4 linked regions of the Caenorhabditis elegans genome follow. The protein of the gene in region 3 interacts with the protein of the main gene of each other region in a pairwise test. Each region holds a gene or a part of one and is shown on either strand. Other genes may lie near its edges.

Region 1 (5,701 bases), on a different chromosome or scaffold from region 3:
ATAGGAATTTCATGTTCTAGATAAAACCATGGGCAGGTTGATAAACGTTTTAACTATTTTACTAGTTGATATTTCTTTTTCAAATCTCAAAATTTCCTAGAATTCTCACCTCTCAGACAAACTTGCAATGGTTGAGGTTGTTGCGGTTGACTACTGACCAGCTTTGGCAGTAAAAATATAAAAAGTGTCCAAAGTCTCATAGTATGTATAAACCTGTAAAACAAAAAAGTTCGTGAATTACTACTGCTAACAATAAGATAACCATGGAAAATTGGGTGAAAAGATGGTGAAAAGAAGCCTCGAGATGCCTCCCCATAGGCTCCGCCTATTTTTCGCCGATGACCTCGATGAAGAAGCATAGACACGAAGAGAAGAGAAAACAAGACATCGGAGAGGAGGAGGAGGAAAGACGTCCGAAAATATGAGGGAAAGTGAAAAAGCCCTCCTCCAGCAAAAAAGTGCACGGATTGACGGAAAATATCACGCCGGCAGGTGAAAGGGGAACGGTGAAATGACCATTGCACTAATCGGACCGGCTTATCGGATTTGAAGGGTTCGAGAGTGATGAAGAAGTTATGAAAAACTATAAGGAAAAGTGAAAAGCGTTCTTTTTTAAAAAGTGAGGAATAAGCAGGAGGAGGATACGGATCAGGTGGGAAAGGAATTTCGGAGAAGAATAGTGTTTCCAAAAATTAGGGTTAAGCTTCTAGGTTAGCTGGGGAAGGAATTCTGGAAAGTGCCCTAGAAAAATATTCAGACGAGGCACCACATGGTGTGGATTTTTTAACGAAAATTCAAAAAAACATGTTCTTTCTGAAATTGCCGTAAAATTAAAAATTATTTTAAAAATTCAAAAGTTGTGAAATTTTTTGAATTCAAATAACCTGGATTTTTCGACAGCTTCAGGGCATCGTAACTTGTCTCAACCAGCTCCGAATGATTTTTTGGAGTGATTAACAGTAGTCATACCCTATCAAGTTTATGTTATAACAAAGTCTGATGTATTCTTTGGGAACCTCCCCTTGTTAGAGAACACGAGCTTTTTTAAAGATTGCTCACTTTTCTGAAAAACTGTGCATAGAAAGTTTTTGAAATTACACTAGAAATGTAGAAAAATATCTCAATGACCAACTCGTAAAGTTTGAGAAAAAGTTACCGACCTGTTCTTCAGCTAGAGCGGTTTCAATGGATCTGACTTTCTATTTTCTACTGTGTTTCGTAAACTTTGGCATGTTTCTCGAAAAATGGCTTGGTAAGGGGATCCAAAACCATATATAGAATTATGTGAAACCGATTTTGATGGGACTGGCCGAACTTTATCTATGTATTTGAGGCCATTTAGCATTAACAGATTTTGCACAACATAGGCCCCCACACCCATTGAAGTTCCACAGGGTGGAATGTTTATTTAGACAGAGGTAATCTGGTGGATGCTAAAACACTTTTTTAAATAAAATGTTTATGATGTAAAAAATAAATTTGAAAAAATCCGAAAAAAGGAACAAAGACAGATCTCTAAAAAAAACCTTGTCACATCATACTGACCCATTTTCATTTTCAACCGCATCTCGTAAGGAATGAGAACAAGCAAAATCGGTCGTCTGCCACGGCTCGTTTCTTTTTGCGTCATCCAACAACTATTTTCTCAAGGATTTCGATTTTCTTTGACATTATTTTGTCGGCCAAAAGTAACAACAAAACAAAAAAAAAAAGAAATTCAAATAGCATTTTATACGATGTCTGTAAGCTCTGTAAGTCTGTAAGAGAGTTCTATGGATTGTACTCAATCTTGATATTCTTGCGACGCTTCGAGTCCGAATGCTGGAACATACTCATCGAGAACGCCTTCTCCTTATTGGAATCCGGCAGCAAAACGTAGTCGAAAGCGATACGATCCTTGTTGTACTCAAAATCATTCCAATCAAACTTTTGCACCGACACAGCAATGATTCGTCCTTCTCCGAGTTCCAAGATTCCAAATGCGGGGTAAGCCATGACACGGGGCACCGAGTTTCCCTTGATTGCGTAGGCAATGCGGTGACGGCTGTTGTTGGAAACTCTCATGTGATATGTCAGATTTTCAAAGTCGAATGGAGCATTGAACACAATCTTATCCATCGGGCGGAACAGAACATCATTCAAATTGTGGCCAGGGCTAATAGCTGCAAAAATTATTATTAACTGGTTGAAAGGATCCGCGGTAGGTGTGCCTGCCTTCTTACTCGCCTTCCTTGCCGGCCGTAACATAGTGCTTCGGCAGTAGTCACATGGTCTTGAAGGCAGGCAGGCAGGCTAGCATTTCCCTAATATCATACCTGAATTGAAACCATCAAATTCCGACTTCAAATTGTGGAAGGATGAAGATTGCATTGGGTGTGGTCCGGTTTTGAAACGTTGAGATCCTCCAGCAAGATCCGTGCAACTCTTTGATGGAGATGGAAGCTTCGACGGTGGAGCAGGATCAGATGGTTCGACTGGTGCAGGAGCTGGATCCTGAACCGGAGCTGGTGGTGGGGCAATCTGTTCCACAGGAGCTGGCACTGGTTCCGGAGCTTTCTCAACAGGGACTGGCATTGGAGCTGGTGGTGGCGGTGGTGCTGCTTGCTCAACTGGCTTTGGTGGTTCTTGTGGTGGTGGTCTTGGCGGTGGTGGAGCCGAGATGGCAGTTCTAGTTGATGCGGCGGTTCTTGGTGCGGATCTTTGGCTCATCTCTGACACGTTTTCATTGCTCTTCTGAAAAATCTTATTTAGTGAAAGAGATTATTCGGATTTTCCACGAGCGAAACTTCTCAGCCACCGTACTACCGTATTCTGATAAGGTAGCTGAAAAGCTTTGCTGGTGATTGGACCCAACAACACTCGTACCTGCTTCTTGAGTTGCTCTCGAATGAATTCATTAATCTTCTGATGCATGACGTATGGTGGCAGGTACAGCAGTGCAAAAAGTGCCAACTTAATCACATAATAGCATGGAATTTTCTCCAAGCTACGATCCAGACACGTCACTGCGCCAAACAACGAGAAGTAAACGAAGAGTGACTCGTCCGTTGGTTTTTCGATCGGAAAGACGAAGATGAGCAATGCTGGGATCGCAACGAGTAGAGCGTTGGCGAAGAAGTGCGCCTGAAATAATATATGAAATTGTAAGCGAACACGGCCACGAAACAAATGTCAAGGTAAGCCCCTTAACAAATCCCGTTCCTCCTGAAAATTAAAACTTCCTTACCTGATCACTGAACGCGAGAATTGCGAAAAGAGCTCCGGCGAGCACTTTGACAACAAGCTCCGCATCCATTCCAGACACATCGACGATTTGTCCGATGCCACGTGCAGTGAAGTGTTTCTTGTTGTGCACTCTTTCACGAATCCATTCCAGCGTTTCACAACAATTTTTGTCGCTTGAAGTTTCCGACATTCCAATTGATCGATAAGATTTTGACGAATCCGAGTAGGGAATAAATCGATTTTTGACAAAAGTGATTGTGGTTAGATTGATTGAATGATAAGAGAATTCAACGTGAATTTCGTGCCACGGAATGTTATTTGGATTCAAAGTTTCTTTTTGGATTTTCACGTTTTTTATAAAATTAACTATAGTAATAAAAACATAATTAACGTGAAGCTCAACAATACTGTATAATTTGTATCGATTTTGCAGTTTGTTAATTTGTACAAGTTTTGACCCTAAATTAGGATTCGAATCAAAACTTCTTATCCATCATGCCATCATAATCTCTATTTGCTCCTCGTTCTAAATGTCTCATTCCTTCTCTTTCACCAATAAAAGAGCATCTCGCGCATCAGTGGCAATGGAAGCGGGGGGCCTTCGAACAATAATCTGTCCGTGTAATACAAAAAATACACATACACAATTCGATACAAACATAGATACCTCCTTTATCGAATGAAGAAAAAAAAAGAGTAAGCAGAAGCTTCTTCATTCAGATAATTACATCAAAAATGATGACCTCCCAGTATGTGTCACTCATTCACTTTGTGGAAAATCCTTTTAGTTCCAATTTATTTTTATACGAAAATGCTGCTTTTCGGTAAACGATTTTAAGTTTTTTGTTTGAAAAACTTTCTTTAAAATTTTTTTTAGAGCTTTAAAAACTGAAATTGTTATACTATTCAGAAGCGTTTAAATGCAAATTTGACAATTTTTGAGCTGAAAATATGGTACCCGGTCTCAACCCGACAAGTTTTTGTAGAATTCAAATAGGTGTGCGCTTTTAAAGAGTACCGTACTTTCAATTTTTTAGGTTGTTCTTGATTTTTCCTTGATTTTTCATAGTTTTTGCCAATTTCCAAAAAAAAAATTTACTAGTTTTCTACAATCAAATACTTTTTATTGAAAACATTGTTTAAAAATCAATGAACTTCCAAAAAAGTGGCAAAAACTGAGAGTTTTCCAATTTTCAAAAAATCATAAAAAATTAAAAAAAACAATTTTTTCGCTATGCTATTTTTTATTGTGGTACCATAGGCAAAACTGAAAACTGAACTGAACCCCACAAAATTCATAAAAATACTGAAAATTTGTGTTTTTCCGTCCGAAAAAAAACCGTGCTTCAAAAAAAAAACTGTACCTGAATCAGTTTTATATATTCAAAACTTCCCAAAAGTTGTCTGAAAACGGGTAGTTTTTTTTTTAAAATTATGTATATCTCATTTCAAAACATGTCCTGATTTAGTTTTTCCCAATGTTTTACGACCAAGTGTTGTTTGATCTACTTAAATCGCGGGATATGACAATTTTTAAGTTTTGTGACGTCATGCTGGCTAACAATGAAACACGTGTGACACACAGTTCAAAACCTAATTTCCAGCAATTTTTTTGGTGAATTGCAGTTTGACCTCCAGAAACCACCATTTTTTGAAAAAAGCTCCTCTGGTCAACCCCAAAAGACCTCCTCCACCTGTACAGTTCAACAAAATCTCAGGTTACCATTTCGCTGCCCCAATTGAAAAGAATCCTGCACTTCTTGGCGCGCTGCTCCGCGAGCATCTTCTTCTTTTCAAACAGTGCATTCGCCTCCCTTTCGAAAACGAATCTTTCTCTCTTCACTCTCCTTAGCTTGTTCACAGACACACAAGTACATATGTACACAACAATAAATACACCGAGTGGTGGTGAGGATGATTGGGAGAGTTGCGCTTTTTCCAACACAACCATCCTCCCACTCCAAATTGTATTGTTTCAATTTTCACCTAACCCCCTTGCCAAAAAAAAAAACGAACCGAAACCTATCAATTTCAGAGCATCTAGAAACATCGAGTGGCAACTCCAGCGATGGCGTCGCAAGTTGGAGCCATTAACTCGGTGAATGCACTCATTTCGAGGGTATTCGTTCAGCCGAAAGGTGATTTGGTAAGTTTATTGTGCTTTTTTCCGAGAGAGGGAAAAAACTGTGAGCCTTCTTGTACACACAATTTTTGATCAGGACCGACTGAGTTTAGTATGGAACCTGGAGCCTGAACTGTGAAGTAATGATTGGAATTGACAACACGTTTTGCTCCTTTTAGGGTCGGCTGAGTTTTTCAGGCTCATATTTTTATTCTTAGGAACTCAGTCTTACTTTTCAGGCAAAAATGTTGGGGCGTATTTTTTAGGTTGGGAATCCATAATCTGTTGAGCTTTTAGTGTAAATTCTGAGTTTTAAATATGATATGATTTTTTAAAGCTCTCCATTTAATATTA
Region 2 (4,929 bases), on a different chromosome or scaffold from region 3:
GAATGAATAATCTTAAAAGGAGGTTGTTAATTCATGTTTTTAGGTTGAGCTGTGCTTGAATATGTTTGCTGCAATTTCAATGATGCTTCAATTAGTTTCCGATATGATGCCCAAAGCCTCGCGTCTTCCATTACTAGGTAAATGAAGTCTAATTATTTTTATCCATCTATTATTTTAAATGTAGGCAACTATATTATTGCTGAAATTTTTGTGGTTACTGCAGCTACAATTGCTGCAATTGTTATTCAACATGTTCATCATCATGTTCACACAAATGCAACGTGCCCTCCAAAATGGTGAATATATGAATAATTAATTAATTATCTCTACTTTTTAATAGGTTACGATGTCTCGTACTATGTGATTGTATGAGGGAAGAATTCCCTTCTAAAACCAGTTCTGTATCCAGTATGGATGTTCCCGAGAACATCATTGCGCCTGTTTCTCTTCTGAAGTCGTCATTACATAAGGTAAACCACCATGATTTGAACATTAATTGATATATTTTAGACTGCGTTTCTTGTTCGTGACACTCTGCAAGAAATGTCTCGCATTAATGAAAATCAGTTGCTCTGGCTCAAAATTCTGGATAAAACTGATCTAATGTGTCTTATTCTGTTTCAAGTTGCCAATGTTGTAATAACAATTGTATATTGGAAATAAAAATCAAAAATAACTTTCAATAAATTTATATTTACCCGTTTAAAAAATTTGATCAATTCATAGGGATAGATAGTCCTAGTGGCAAAAATTGGGTACTTGTTTGACAGTAAATTAAAAAATATTTAAAACGTCTCTAAAGCACCCTCAAAACAAATGATCGGTTTTAGTGAAGAATAATTTATATTAACAACTTTCCTGCGCGAGAACATGGAATGTTTGGACTTTTTTAGAGTATTGTTTTCTGCGGGGTTGACAAATTTTCAAGAGTCCCTAGGCCTTCTACAGTGCCGGCCATAATTCTATCCAATTTTAGTTTTTTGACAATAACTTGTTTCAAAGTGATTCGTTTGAGTTGAAAATTCACTATAATATGAAAATGATCAAAACATAACTATTACTGCAAGAATTATAAAAAAAGCAAAATTTAAAAAAATTTCGGGGAATTTTCAAAAATTCGAAAAAGTGAAAATTATCTAAATTCTGAAAATAGGTTCTTTGTGAACTGGATCGGTTTTATCTGTCTACGAAACTGTCATTAAACTAGTAAATGAATCTTTGTGAATTTATTTTTGGCAATTAAAACTTAGGTGTCACGTGACAACAGACCATAAGCTTACCTGCAACTTGCAAGTGCTTGAAAATGGAAGAGTCTTTCTATTTTCAGTCATTGTGGCTATGAAATCAGTCTCATTCATTTTTAAATTAGGTTTTCTACATTGTTCAAGACTATTCTATTGATTTTGTATAATGTTTCTATCTATCTCGCTGGATATAAGCATCGCAGAGACACTCAGTGCTTACCAAGTATGTCAATTTTTGTCTTTGCCGCCTTGGTAAAGCTACCCTAACCCCCTTTTTTTCTAATGTGTGCAAAAAGTCAAGCAGTCAGAGTGAGGGATGGTAAAGCTATCGCACCTGCAGCAAACTAACTTCAAAATAAATTATGGTTTTATAAATTAGGGTAAATTAGGTTTTGGTTTTCTCAAATGTTTTTTTTCCGCAAACGTTATTGGATTTGGCCTATATATATTCTCCAGGCCAACTAGAAAGCATTCAGCTGGCTAAAAACACGCGGTTATCGGTATATTCATAATTGAACAAGGCTTCCCTCAAGTGACTAAAAAAGCTTGTTTAATTACATGAAACGGATGAACTAGAAATTCTTTAATTTCTTTTTCGATGACCGTGATGTTTTACTTTATTTCAAAAATAATTCCAAAAAACATCCAGAAACTTTTTTATAAAGGTTGTTTTTTCTCCGCTTCAACCTCGACCTTTCTTTATCTCCACGGTCAATCTGCCCTAGATCCGTCCGTATAAAAGATCGGAAAATGTGTAATTCAAATCAGTCTCTGCTCGAATCACCGATTCTCTACTCACTCGACTACTTCTCTGCAATGGATCAAATCCCACCGTACGAGTTCAATAAGTACGTGCTCTACGCTCGTGGTGCCGTCATCGTGTGTGCTTCATTTGAGGTTCGTTCTGTGCCGTTCGTGGTCCTCGGAGGACTGGTCCTGGTTTTTAAGGGCTGGCCTCTAAAGACTTGTCCTGGCTCTTGGTCTTTTGCCCGTTTTCCAGAATGTATAGAACATCATGAAATATTTGCAGCTCCTGATGGTTCTGTTCGGTTCCCTCGGCGATTGCAATTTCCTTGCCAAGCTATTCTACTTCATCTTCCTCGGTGGAGCAGTTGCCGTCTCATCGCACAACATTGCTCTCAACATTGATGGTCGCGAGGAGATCAACAAGGTTCTTACCTCGTCTGACAATGAAGTTCGTGGAAAGTCTGCCGCATTGGTTCTTGTCCCAGCTCTTGCTGGTATCTTCGTCTTCTTGTGTGTTTCTGGGCATGCATTCTTCTCACTTTTCGTGCTCATCCACGTGCTCGCCGCTGTTGGACAACTCGGAATTGAAGCTTATGAGTTCAAGAAGGGACAATCTGGAGCTCCAGCACAAGACCCAGCCGCCACTGCACCACCAGCCCAGGATCCAGTTGCAGCTCCACCAGCACAGTAGAAAGAATACTTGGGGGTTTTTGAAATAAAAGTTTTTACTTGCTCTTTTTGATCAGGAATGTAATCTGCAAATTCTGCTAGACTCGGTCGCCAAAAAACCTGGAAAAACTAAGTGCTCTTTTCTACTGTAGTTTCAGAAGAGTGAGCATCTTGTTGTAAGAGTAATATTTTGTTGTGGTTAGTCCGAAGAGAGGCTTCTGTGATTACTTAAAAACTATCGTAACTATCAACTTTTTGAGCAAATACTGGGTTATTGGAGTACTTTAGTATGATTGCTGTTCGTTTCGCTGGGTTATTTCAAGGATTCTCGCAAACTGGAATAATTCAAACACTTTCTAAATGCTCAATAATCTTTATTATTAGTTCCAACTCCAACAAGAGAAACATTCATTTTCTTCCCCATCCAAGTGGAGTCGGTGGACGATAGATGGTATGTCTTGCATTTGCAGATGGGATGAAATTGAATGAACTTGGCTGAGGAGCTCTTCTAGCTGGGTTGAACAGTGATGGTAGAATTTGATTAGTTGGAATGAATTGCTGTAAAGTATTATACGTTTCTTTTGCTTGAAAGTTTGAAATCAGCCTACCGCGGAAACCGAGAAAATGGCGAAAGCAAGGAAGATGCAGGCGGTGAACAGTTGCATTATGAGATGCGCTTTTTGGACTTCACCGAAAAATGGTAAATTTATATGAAAACATTTACGAGCTCCCTCCGATTGTAGTGTTCAAAAACATAACAGGTTTCATAAAATATTCTGACCCCTCCGACAATCGAGAAAACTCTAAACATTTTAACTACACCCCTTTGATTTTTTTGAGAAGAAATCAAATTTTGCAGTGGTTTTTTCGGAGGGACCTCATCAAACTGGGAATATAAAAGAACGCGTTTTGTGTAGTATCATTAGCAAAGTCTTTGAAAATGCAAATATTCAATGCCTATATCTTCCTTGTCTTCACAATTTGCTCAGTTTCTGCGGTAAGTTTTAAATGATCAAACTCAAATAATATTATATTATTCAATCAGCAATTCTATCCATGGTCAATGGCTTTTCAACCAGTTGATCACATTGAACCATCAATCTTCAATCCAATTCCACAAGCTCCAGAGCCAAATTTGTTCAATTTCATTCCATCTGCAGTTGCACAGCATACTATCTGTGCATACTATATATCAATCGTCCACCAACTCCACTTGGTTGGGGAAGAAAATAAATGTCTCTCTTGATGAAATATATAATAAACATATTCAAGCATTCAGAAAGTCTTTATTTTATTGCACACTCCCCCTAATGTAACAAGTTTAAACCGTTTTACAGTTGTTTTCATCCTATTACGACATTGTTAATACATTTTTTAACATTATAAACTGGAATTTCTGACATGTGTAGTGTTCGTAAGTGTAAGTGTTCAATAAGTAATCACAATTAAAAGTATCTACGAGCAAGATTTCAAAATTATCAAAAACTTTGAATATTATGTTTATATTTCTTGTACGTTCTTTCTAAACTCTGTGCCTATTGGTCGGCCCAAAACAAATCGTTAAAAAAACAGATGAACACTTGGATAATATAGTTTCAATTGCGAGTCCCTGATGAACCTGTGACTCAAAGTGAAGTTCCTCGCAATCTGCTGACACTCTGAAAAGGGTCGCGGGTCGATCCATGTTTACGCCTAACAAGTTAGAAAGCTACAATTTTTGCGAATCCCATCCAATCATGCAATCTCTGCCTTTGTTTTGTTTTGTTGTCAATGTTCTTGAAATGTGATTTTCTGAAATGTTGTGGAAATCATCATGTGAACGCATCATTTTATTTTCCAATCTCAGTCATCTTTTCCCCGTATAAAAGATTCTTCTAAAGTTTTGTTTCTACATCATATACAAAATGACGGGATTCTCAAGTGTATTCCTAAGCATTCTTTTTTGTATTTTCTTCCCATACGTTGTCTATTCGGCCAGTTCTACAAAATTCAATTTCTCTGGAACAATCACATGTAATGCCACCATGAAAGATTCATTTGTCGAGAAGCTGCAAGTATGGGAACATGATAAAGCGTTAGTTTGAATATAAATTTTTATGAAAATCTATTGAAAATATGTCAGAACACCAAATGATATGATAGGAGAGGTAGCACAATTTATTAAAGACAAATCTGGTTTCTTTTATAAAGTTGACGCAGAAGACAATGGGGATGGACTATTTGATGTAGGTATTGTTGTGATTCTAAAATTTTGCTGTGACTTATAGGA
Region 3 (5,279 bases):
TTTTGTTTCTGTTGGTTGCTAGAAGTTTTTTGTCGTACTTTCCTTAATAAGACTTGCACATTTCCACTTCGGTGCTGGTTTTCGGCAATTGCCGGTTTTTGGAATTTCTGGCGATCGGCAATTTCGTCACTTGAAGAATTCTAAAATGCCTACAAATCGGCAATTTCGGCAAATTCCCAATTTTGATAATTTCTGAAATTGATAGATTCCAATTTTTCGGAAATTCTGGCAAACTCATTAAATGCCAAATTCCAAAATTTTCAGGCAATCGGAAATTGTGGCAAGCGCGGGTTTTCGGTTTTTTAGAATTTACTGTTTTAGAATTTCTAGACATTTTAAACATTCTGAAATTTATTTTTGAAGCTTGACAAGATTTTAGTGTTTCTTAATTAAAAACTAATTTTACAATTTTTTCAATAAATTTTCACTACCTGCATGCAATCTTCAAACTGTTGGTATTCTGGATAAACTGAAAAAATAATTTTCATAATTTCATTGTTTTTTTGTTGCAAAATCATATTTTAAACCGATTAAATTGCGCTTAGTATGATGTGTGTTTAGAGCGATGATCAAAGCGGAACGTATGCCTCATCATCGGGAATCGCAAAAAAACCTGTCCTTTTGGATGAGAAAAGTCAATTTTGACGGCGAGAAAAGGCTTTTTGATATCTTTTTTAGATGATTTTTATAAGAGTCACTATCTTGATAGTAGTTTTAAAGTATATTTTAAATTATATTTTGGATTAAAAAATTATTTTAAAGCAGTCAAATAACAGCCCCCGAACTTTTCAAATTCCGAAAACGCAAAAATTTAACTACATAACAACGAAAAAACGAGAAATTTCAACAATTTACGCTTGTGAGAGTCTAAAATAAAGTAGTTTCAAAAAATTGGAAAAAAATGTTACAAAAATTCCAGTTCAGAAAAATAAGAAAAATCTATCGATCATTAGATTCTCTGAAAACTACGCTCAAATTTTCTGATTTTTTTTGCCGTTTTGAATTGATGGAACATTTTTTTTTGAATTAGGTTAGGATGTGTTGATCAAGTTTTTTCAAAATACAAAAATTTCAAAATCGAACTCAGTTTGCACCTCCATAACTGAGTCACACAAACTTCTATAGAAACATTTTGTTTTGAGAACCCCCGTTTTTGGTTTTTAAGCAAGTTTTTTTTGAATTGAAAATGCAAAATGTATCTTTCTGCAAAAAATAATTCTAAAATTCCTTTCCAAAAGCCAGTTTCTGATCAGGTTTTTTGGCATACATTGCTGGTATTGTTAATGCCAACAAACCGTGACTCATCCTATTTTCATTCAAAAAGGCTTCTTTTTCTTTCAATGTAGGTTTTTTCTTTAAGACATTTGAATTTATAAAATTTACATTCAGCTTAATATTTAAAAATAATAATAGGGTTAGTCATGCAATTTTGTGACATGTATCAAAATATATTTTATGGCGTCATTAAGTGTATTTCACTTGTCTTTAATTTCGTTTTGGTAGCTCAGTTTGTGAACTGGTAAAATAAAATATAATTTCTTCTTGATTGAATACACTCATAAATAACAAATTACGGCAATTGAAAGTTTCCAAAAAAATCAGTTCAGCTAAATTCTTGGCCTTATTTTTTTTTGACTACTTTGGAAAAAAACAATCTAAATCTGCGTAGTACATGTCTGAGTAGTACGATATGTATAAAGAATGGCAATAATTTAATTTTAAAAATTTCCACAAATATGTATGTTTTGCAAAACATTTTTGATCCGTAACTCCTTTTTTTAATTTCGAAAATGATTAACGGTTCCCATTAATTGAGAATAACGATTAACTAAACTAAACTATCTTTACAGCCAGCAAAAATGACTCATCTCAGAATACATTTTATAGTTTGAAACACATTGTTTTTTCATCTCTCTGGCTAAGTTCCTCCTTGTGATTTTTGTACACTAAAGTTGTCGACGAAGCTTCTCAAAGTCACGAGAAATGCTCCAGTAATTCTTTGCTCTTTTTCCTGAGCCTCAGGTATGAGCAATGTTTTGTATTGAAAGCTCTTGCTCATTATTTTAATTTGGAACGTATTCCTGAGTTATTTTTAGTGACAGAATACCTAGTTTTGAGTCGCTACTCAGAAAAAGTTATGTGATATTTGATATGTTTGTCGATAGTATTGAACAAGGGGGGTGAACAGGAAGTGAAGTGATGGGCCCACATATTTGCATATCAAACTACTATTTCCTGTTTCTCATAAGTTTGCACTTGCCTAGCCTAGCAAGACCTTCGTTTCTTATTTGGAAAATGTCCCACTTTGAAATTTTCTGAAATTTCCAGAAATGCCCAGAAATTTCTTACGCTCTTTCCTTGTGCCGCCAAGAGAAAATGTTAAATATGTTATGATCATGATGCCCACTCACTCAATTTTTCACCAAATAAAAAATGATAACGGCCCCCGTTTTCACATGACTCATCCTCTCAGCACTATATAATTTCAGTTTTTCTCCAGAATTGTAGACACTCTGGCAACACTGCTGCTTTTTCTCTTTTCGTTTTCATTAATAAAATATAAAGTTTAAAATTTTAAAATTTTCAGACTCTCCACAAAATGCGTCCAGTCGTCTTTACACTTTTGATCACACTTTTGCTCGCCAGTTCTGTGCAAGCCGATTGGTGGGACGGGTTCACTGATACGGTAGGTTAAGAAAAAGCTTTATGTCTGCTTGCCTATGTGCCTGCCCATCTTTTTTTTTTGTGTCTGGTCGTTCTAATACTTACTTCTAACTTCCCACTGATTTGGACAATTTCCAAAAGGCAAGGCAGGCATAGACAGGCAAGCCTACAAAAAGCCACGTGCCAAACTTTTGTAACTAAATGTTTAAGAATTTAAAAATTCGCTCAATTTTTACGTGGCCTTCGGATTTTTTTGGATTCTCTAACTTTTCAATCACGTATTTTTTTAACAAAAAAACAATTATTTTTGAATTTCTTTTTCAAAATCTGACCAAAATTCGAGATGGAGAAGCTCACCAACTTCTATAACAATCATAAAGACGCTTATATCAGTCAGGTAGATAATGTAATTTCAACATTAAAAATCTGCAACGATGTACCTGCCTACAGAGCTAAGCCTTTTTGCCCTCAGCCTATGCCTCTAAGTGCCTTAGCGTTTTGAGAATTATTTGCCAAAGCTTTTCTCAAAAACAAAAAATTACATCGCAAACTCTGAATTTCCGTTCTTGCAGGTCAGCGGAGGTCTGAACAATGCCGCCGGATGGTTCAAGGAGACGGCGTCTCCAGCAATCCGTGACAAGTTCAACGAGTACAAGGAGAAGCTTCAGGACCCGGAAACCCACAAGAACATCCGAGAATGGGTTGCAGAGAAGTACGAGGCCGCATCCGAATTCACAAAGGAGGAGATTGTTCCGGAGCTTAAGAAGGTGTACGAGGCGGCCACTGCTGATGTGACGACGAATGAGCCGAAAGAGGAGAAGGAAGTGACTTTAGATGATAATTGATTTAATTAATCAATTATTATTTATTTATTCACATATTTTTCTTATGCATTACTCAAAGCCCACGTTTATCATGTGCCTTATTCCAATGACGAATTGTAGTTGTATTTGTTCAAAAGCAAGCATAAAATGTTTTTTCTGTAATATTGAATTGTTTCAAAAAAGTTTCAAAATGTGGAAATTTGCGATATTTCAAATATGAACTGTGACAACTCCACAGAACCAAGTTGCATAATGAGATTTCTTTTAAAAAAGTTTGCACGGTTTTATTTTAAAGTTTTGAACATCCATAAAATATTGGTGAAAATTCAAGAGGCCTCGTTGTTAAATTTGGTTTGTGCGTCTACCAAGGGAAGTATTTCAACTTAATACAGGGCTTCTGACTGAAACTTATGGCATTTGAAAAAAGCCTTCTGGCTAGGCCTTCTACAAATAATTTAGCGACAGAGGAGCACTTTGGAAAACAGTCGCTCTGAAAATGTTTCAGTGCATTTTTTCACAATTTTCTAGACCCGTAAAGGCTCCAACTGTGAAATTTTCAGATTTTTGATAATTTTTAGGATGTTCAGAAATGGACATTCGGAATTTTTCTTGGAATTTTTTAAAATTTTTTTTTCGTAAGTTCTAATAGTAAAAGTTGAAAATTGGACATGTCCTTGCTCGAATTTTCGAATCATTCTTCAACAAAACACTTCAAAAATTGTTTATCCCTGTCTCAAATCAGTTGCAAAAGTGAGTTTAAATTTTCTAAACTTTCAAGCGTATATAAAAAATTTCAGTTCCTCCCCGATACACCACCAATAAAACTGGAAAGATTAAATGGAAGGCGACCGATACGGATCAATAAAGCAACTAGGTAGGTATGTAGATTATAAGTTTTCCAGACATACTAAACTGAAGAAAAAACAAATTTTTCGCTTACAATACATCTCAGATAGACTGGAGTCACGGCAGAGCGATAGAAAATCACTGCTAATTAGCATTTATGTCACGGCTTAGTCAACCGCAGTAATTGTGCTTTTCCGCTGATTAGCGGTGATGTTTTGCTACGTAGTTATGCTTTCTTGCTAGCTAGTTTTGCTTTCATATTGGATTAAACTTTTATAAAACCATAAAAAATAACACGATTTATTATGAAAATGAAACAAAATGAAAAAACAACAGAAAAAAAACATTTAACGAAAAATGGAAAAAAAAACAAAAAACAAGTTTCGAAAGTATCAGAAAACAGGAGAACTAGTGAATTTATGGGGAGTCTGGGATATTTTCCCTTCCAGCAGATTTCGAAGTTGATAGAGAGTTCGAAGATGATTGAAAGTTCGAAGTTGATGGAACTTGCTCCTCATCGATATCCTCGCTGCTCTTGTAGAATTGTGTGCAATCGATGATGGGACGCTTTGGCAGCACAATTTTTGGTGGATTCTGGCCGTCGTGTTTTGTTCGATACAAACCACGGGCATGATCGCTGCAAAAAGACATTTGTGAAAACATAGTTTTTCAAGTTAAAGAAAAATTCTATTCGCTGGCTTTTTAAAGTAAATAACAAGAAACCTACAATCTGACTTTGATATGATGCTTGAACAGCATATTGACCACACTTGGAAGGCGAGTAACGTCCACCTGGTCGTTGTCCAACTTGATTGCCGCAGCGAGAAGAGCTGAAAACGATTTTTATGTGGCTCGCCCATGTAAATCATAAACTAACCGGCTGGCCAATTTGTCAAGTCTCCTGGGAAGAAAGTAAGAGGCTCCGTCTTTTTGCTTGTCGTGAAG
Region 4 (4,691 bases), on a different chromosome or scaffold from region 3:
TAATTGCTCATAAAGATATAAAACCCCTTATATCGGAGTTTGACAGCGTTTTCCAGTGTATCCAAGGTTACAGAGACAAGTCAGCTGGTTAGTGGTTCCAAAGCACAATCCATGTCCGTTACAGTCGCGAGCCGAGTCGCAAACGGCTGAAAATAATCCACGTAGGGGTTGGAGGCAATCTAGTATGAAGGCAGATAGATGCACCTGCCGATTAGTAAAGCCTTAAAACTAAAAGATAAAACCTTACTCTCTTCACAAGTCTTTCCAGAAAATCCCAATTGGCATGCGCAGAGGAATGTTTTCTTTGTTCCGAGACAAGTTCCACGGTGATTACAGTCGATGGCTCCGCAGGATTCGAGGCTTGAACGGGATAGGAGACTGTTCTCTTCTTCTTCACGTTCTCGAGCAGTTTCTTTCAGACTTTCTACCTGAAAGTGGTCAGAATCAAAACTTGAAATGTTTCAAACATTTTCAGAGTGTGTAAGAAATCTTCAATTATTTTTTTCAGAAATTCCAATTCAAATTCTAGAAACTTTCTGAAATTTTCACGGGATTTTAAAAATTACCAGCTTTCCTAAAAGTTTACAGAAAATTCTTTTAAAAAATTCAAAAACGTTTGGAGGTTTTCAAAAGATCCCTAGGTTTTAACTTTTTCTAGGAGTTTTTTTTTATTTTTAAATTTTACCAGAAGCTTCTAAAGCTTCTAAAAATGTTTCAGAAATTTTCAAAAGGTAAAAAAAATTCAAGCAGTTTTCAGAAGGCTCTAAAATTATCTGGTTTTTTTTCTTCTAAATTTTCCAAAAGACGTTCTAAAAGCTTCCAGGTTCTTGAGCTTCCAGAATTTTTATAAATTTCTAGCACGTTCTATCTAGTTTTATACAGAAGTTACTAGAACCTCTGCAGTGTCAAAAACTTATCAGAAAAATTTAAATTTTAAATTTTGCGCCAAAAAAACCGACCGCCTTGTCGAGTTCAGCCTTCACTTCCTCTTGAATATCATTTGCATCAACTTCCCTCTTTTTGTCAGTTTTTTCTTCGGCTTCCACATCTAAATAAATTATTTACTGTGAGGTAGAGAAAATAAAATTTCAAAATAAAATTATCCAACAAAAAAACTAGATAACTTTCAATTTGAAAAGTTCGTAAGTTCACTCCGGGAGATAATTGATGTTGAAAAGGTATTTGATATACGATCCTTTAGTAATTGTAATACATCAAATAACTGGTACACGTCATTTCGAAAAATAAACCATTGAATTACCTGATTCTGAAAAATTTTCTATAAAAATTTTTGAAGAAGTTTCTGGAAGCTAAACGATTCTAAAATTTTCCCGATTAGAAAAGAGGATCTAATAAAGTTCTAGAGGATTCTAAAATATTTTGAAGTTTATTGAAAATTTCTAAAAACTGCCAGGTGGTCTCTAGCAATGTTGAGAACTTTTTTTAAAAACTTTCTGGACTGTCCTAAGAAACTAGAACATTCTGAAATTTTCTGATACTTCTTGGATTTTTTTGGAGCACTGTGAAAATTCCAAAAAAATTCTGAAACTTTCTAAAACTTTCTGGGACTTTCCAAAATGTTTTCTAAAAAATTCTAAAAAAATTCTAATATTTTCTTAACTCATCTTTATTATATATTTTACCTGAAATTTCAACTTCTCCTGAAATTGTCTTATTTCCCACATCGTCCACTTCAATCACGTGCACTTTTTCGGCATGAATCCACGTGACCAAGACCAGGAAAATTCCAAAAATTGTCGCGGAGGTTTTAACAAACATTTTTTTTATCTGAAAGTTGATTTCTTGGAACTTTTCATGATGACAATTGACAAAAAAGTGGTAGATATTATTCCCAAAACACTATACATATTAGAATACAAAATCTAAACAAAAAAATAACGACACAAACACAAAAGTAACAATTTGGCGTGGTTACGTAACAGTTTTGTGCCCCTATTCCACCTTTGCCCCGTGAGGGTGGGCCGGTTTTAGGGGGATAAATTAGGGAAAAAAGTCAGGAAGCGTGTCGAAATCGGCGAGATCCAAAAAACCAGATGATTATATAATAGGAGGGGTGGTTGTTTCGAGGATACTCTTTTGGTCAGATTTATTGTATTTTAGTTAGGCTATATACTTGATGGCTAAAGTAGTTCTGAAGATGGTTCAGAACAATAGGAACAATTGTCGAAAAGTTCCAGTTTCTAGCATTTCGGCTAGTAAATTGTTGGTGTTTAACAGTAACAAAATAGTAACTTGTGGAAAAAACCAACCGATGGAAGTGATTTCGTGAGCTACAAACTACAATTCTACAAACTGCAATTTTCACAGATTTCGAAATATAATATTACTATAAACTATACCCATGCAATCTAGAATTTTCAGATTAAACAAATTAAACCAAAACTGTTACGCGAGTTACAGATTGAATACTACCAATTAGAAATTAGAAACTGTAAACTACAAACCACAAACTACAAACTACAGACCTGAAGTTGATAACTATAGAGTTGAGACAAGAGACTGAAACGTGCAACTCCACTTCAAAAACTTTTCCTAACAACTGAAATCTATAAAGTTGAAGCTACGGAAGTGCAAACTACAAACTACAAACTAAACTATGAAAGCGTACCCAATACATTGTTTAATATGTCCTAGAGTTCCTGAAAATGGCAGAAAACTAGGAATTCAAAAATGGCCGTGAAACAAAAAAGTTATAATTTTCAATTTTTTAATTTTTTAAAGGGTTTTCAAAAAATAAAATAATTTCACGCATCGGCCCGACAATTCCCTATCGCCACGTTTAATCTGCCCCAGTTTCGTCCGTATAAAAGCTCGAAAAAATGTGAAATCAAATCAGTCTCTGCTCGAATCATCACCGATTTTCTACTCGCTCGACAACGATCTCTCGCAGCTACAATGGATCAAATCCCACCATACGAGTTCAACAAGTACGTGCTCTACGTCCGTGGTGCCGTCATCGTCTGTGCTTCATTTGAGGTATGTTTGGGGATTTCTGGGAGGTTTTGTAAAGATCTCGCCCTGACCAGGTCTTTCCTTGGGGATTTTAATACAAGCGTAGAAGATTTTCTGTGTGGGCAATGAAGGGTAATTGCCGGTTCGCCGAATTTCCCGATAATTTGAAAACGGCAATCTGTCGGCTTTGCCGTTTGTCGGAAAACTCCATTTTCGGCAATTTTCAGCATTCCGAATTTTCCGTTTGCCGGTCATCCCTAAATGTAGCCTTTTTCATCTAAAACCTTTATAATTTTCAGCTCCTGTTGGTCCTATTCGGTTCCCTCGAAGATTGCAACTTCCTTGCTAAGCTCTTCTACTTCATCTTCCTTGGCGGAGCAGTTGCCATCTCAGCTCACAACATTGGTCTCAACGTGGATGGTCGCGAGGAGCTCAACAAGGTTCTTTCATCGTCAGAGAATGAAGTTCGTGGAAAGTCTGCTGCCTTGATTCTGGTGCCAGCGCTCTCCGGTGTCCTCGTCTTCTTATGTGTCTCTGGACATGCATTCTTCTCGCTTTTCGTGCTCATCCATGTGCTCGCCGCCGTTGGACAACTCGGAATTGAGGTTTATGAGTTGAAGAAGGGACAATCTGGAGGTTCTGCACGAGGTGCTGCACCGTCAGCACAGGATCCAGCTGCTGCTCCACCAGCCCAATAGACGAAGAAAATAAATCTGATATAAATGGAATAAATTGGAGTTTTTATTATTATTCTCGTTCAGATTTTTGTTTTGTATTTTCTTGAGATCGAACAGAGGCTCCCTGAAAAAAACGTTACAGGTCAGCAAAATATTTTTCTACTTCCGCGTATTAAAGAATTCTTGTCCGAAATAGAGAGGAAGTTTCGTAACACGTTTCGTAAGATTTGCCGTATATCATCTCGCGTAGTTTCGAGCAATTCTAAAAAATATTGTCAATTTCCATTCAGAATTTCTCAGTTTCCTCAGTTTTCCTAAGTTATTTTCTTATCGGACTCCTTATCAGTCGTCAATAAAATGGTAGGTGCTTACCATTTTTGCATTTTGTAATTTTCTGTAGACATGTCTTTGTGTCGCACATTTTTCTGTGTGAAGTGTTCACAATTCTTCGGTAAGTAGCAATTTAATTAAGTTTTGTTTAACTTATTAAACTTGGTAATATATTGTAGATATTTCATTAAAGGTGGAGTAGCGCCAGTGGGGAAATTGCTTTAAAACACGCCTATGGTACCACAATGACCGAATATCATAATAAAAAAATTCAAAAAAATTTTCCTGATTTTATATGATTTTTTGAAAATAGCAAAATTCTCAGTTTTTGCCTAATTCCTATTTGAATTTCCGCCAATTGAATTTGTTCGATGGAGCGCGCTTGCACGTTTTTAATTTAATTTATTTTATTTTTTGTTATTTTCCACCAATTTTTAATGTTTTCGGTGTATTTTTGCTCGAATTTTAGGGAAAAAGTCAAAATAAATGCAAATTTTCGATTAAAAAGCACGCTTACACGCGTAAATCAGTTAAATTAATTAATTTAGGTTCGAAATCGTTTAAAAGCGTTTCTTTTTCATTTTAACGCTTGTAAGCGAGCTTTTTAATCGAAAATTTGCATTTCTTTTGACTTTTTCCCTAAAATTCGAGCAAAAATACACCGAAAACATTAAAAATTGGTGGAAAATAACAAAAAATAAAATAAATTAA

The links.
Region 1: the proteins of K02B7.3 (region 3) and C36H8.1 interact in a two-hybrid assay, tested with the Caenorhabditis elegans proteins (one large-scale study listed by BioGRID).
Region 2: the proteins of K02B7.3 (region 3) and F17E9.5 interact in a two-hybrid assay, tested with the Caenorhabditis elegans proteins (one large-scale study listed by BioGRID).
Region 4: the proteins of K02B7.3 (region 3) and Y38C1AA.7 interact in a two-hybrid assay, tested with the Caenorhabditis elegans proteins (one large-scale study listed by BioGRID).

Annotation. Positions count from the first base shown.
Region 1 is NC_003282.8:12,741,324-12,747,024, forward strand, and holds C36H8.1 (Major sperm protein), read right to left. Parts: upstream 3,491-5,701; 5' UTR 3,416-3,490; coding exon 3,227-3,415; intron 3,124-3,226; coding exon 2,866-3,123; intron 2,734-2,865; coding exon 2,316-2,733; intron 2,163-2,315; coding exon 1,771-2,162; 3' UTR 1,714-1,770; downstream 1-1,713. Other genes in the region: T23F6.5 (MAM domain-containing protein), read right to left, coding at 110-200; inx-6 (Innexin-6), read left to right, coding at 5,294-5,371.
Region 2 is NC_003282.8:8,343,823-8,348,751, forward strand, and holds F17E9.5 (DUF7087 domain-containing protein), read left to right. Parts: upstream 1-1,995; 5' UTR 1,996-2,060; coding exon 2,061-2,141; intron 2,142-2,274; coding exon 2,275-2,682; 3' UTR 2,683-2,724; downstream 2,725-4,929. Other genes in the region: lgc-5 (Neurotransmitter-gated ion-channel ligand-binding domain-containing protein), read left to right, coding at 44-137, 185-296, 341-470, 511-663; F17E9.18 (Neuropeptide-Like Protein), read right to left, coding at 3,069-3,218, 3,269-3,325; F17E9.15 (uncharacterized protein), read left to right, coding at 3,601-3,657, 3,706-3,906; F17E9.4 (TransThyretin-Related family domain), read left to right, coding at 4,565-4,734, 4,783-4,885.
Region 3 is NC_003280.10:14,692,606-14,697,884, reverse strand, and holds K02B7.3 (DUF148 domain-containing protein), read left to right. Parts: upstream 1-2,583; 5' UTR 2,584-2,599; coding exon 2,600-2,686; intron 2,687-2,968; exon of another isoform or gene 2,969-3,007; coding exon of another isoform or gene 3,008-3,061; intron 3,062-3,236; coding exon 3,237-3,509; 3' UTR 3,510-3,693; downstream 3,694-5,279.
Region 4 is NC_003282.8:156,112-160,802, forward strand, and holds Y38C1AA.7 (DUF7087 domain-containing protein), read left to right. Parts: upstream 1-2,850; 5' UTR 2,851-2,916; coding exon 2,917-2,997; intron 2,998-3,272; coding exon 3,273-3,671; 3' UTR 3,672-3,725; downstream 3,726-4,691. Other genes in the region: gegf-1 (EGF-like domain-containing protein), read right to left, coding at 28-146, 248-428, 960-1,048, 1,644-1,779; Y38C1AA.19 (RING-type domain-containing protein), read left to right, coding at 4,053-4,101.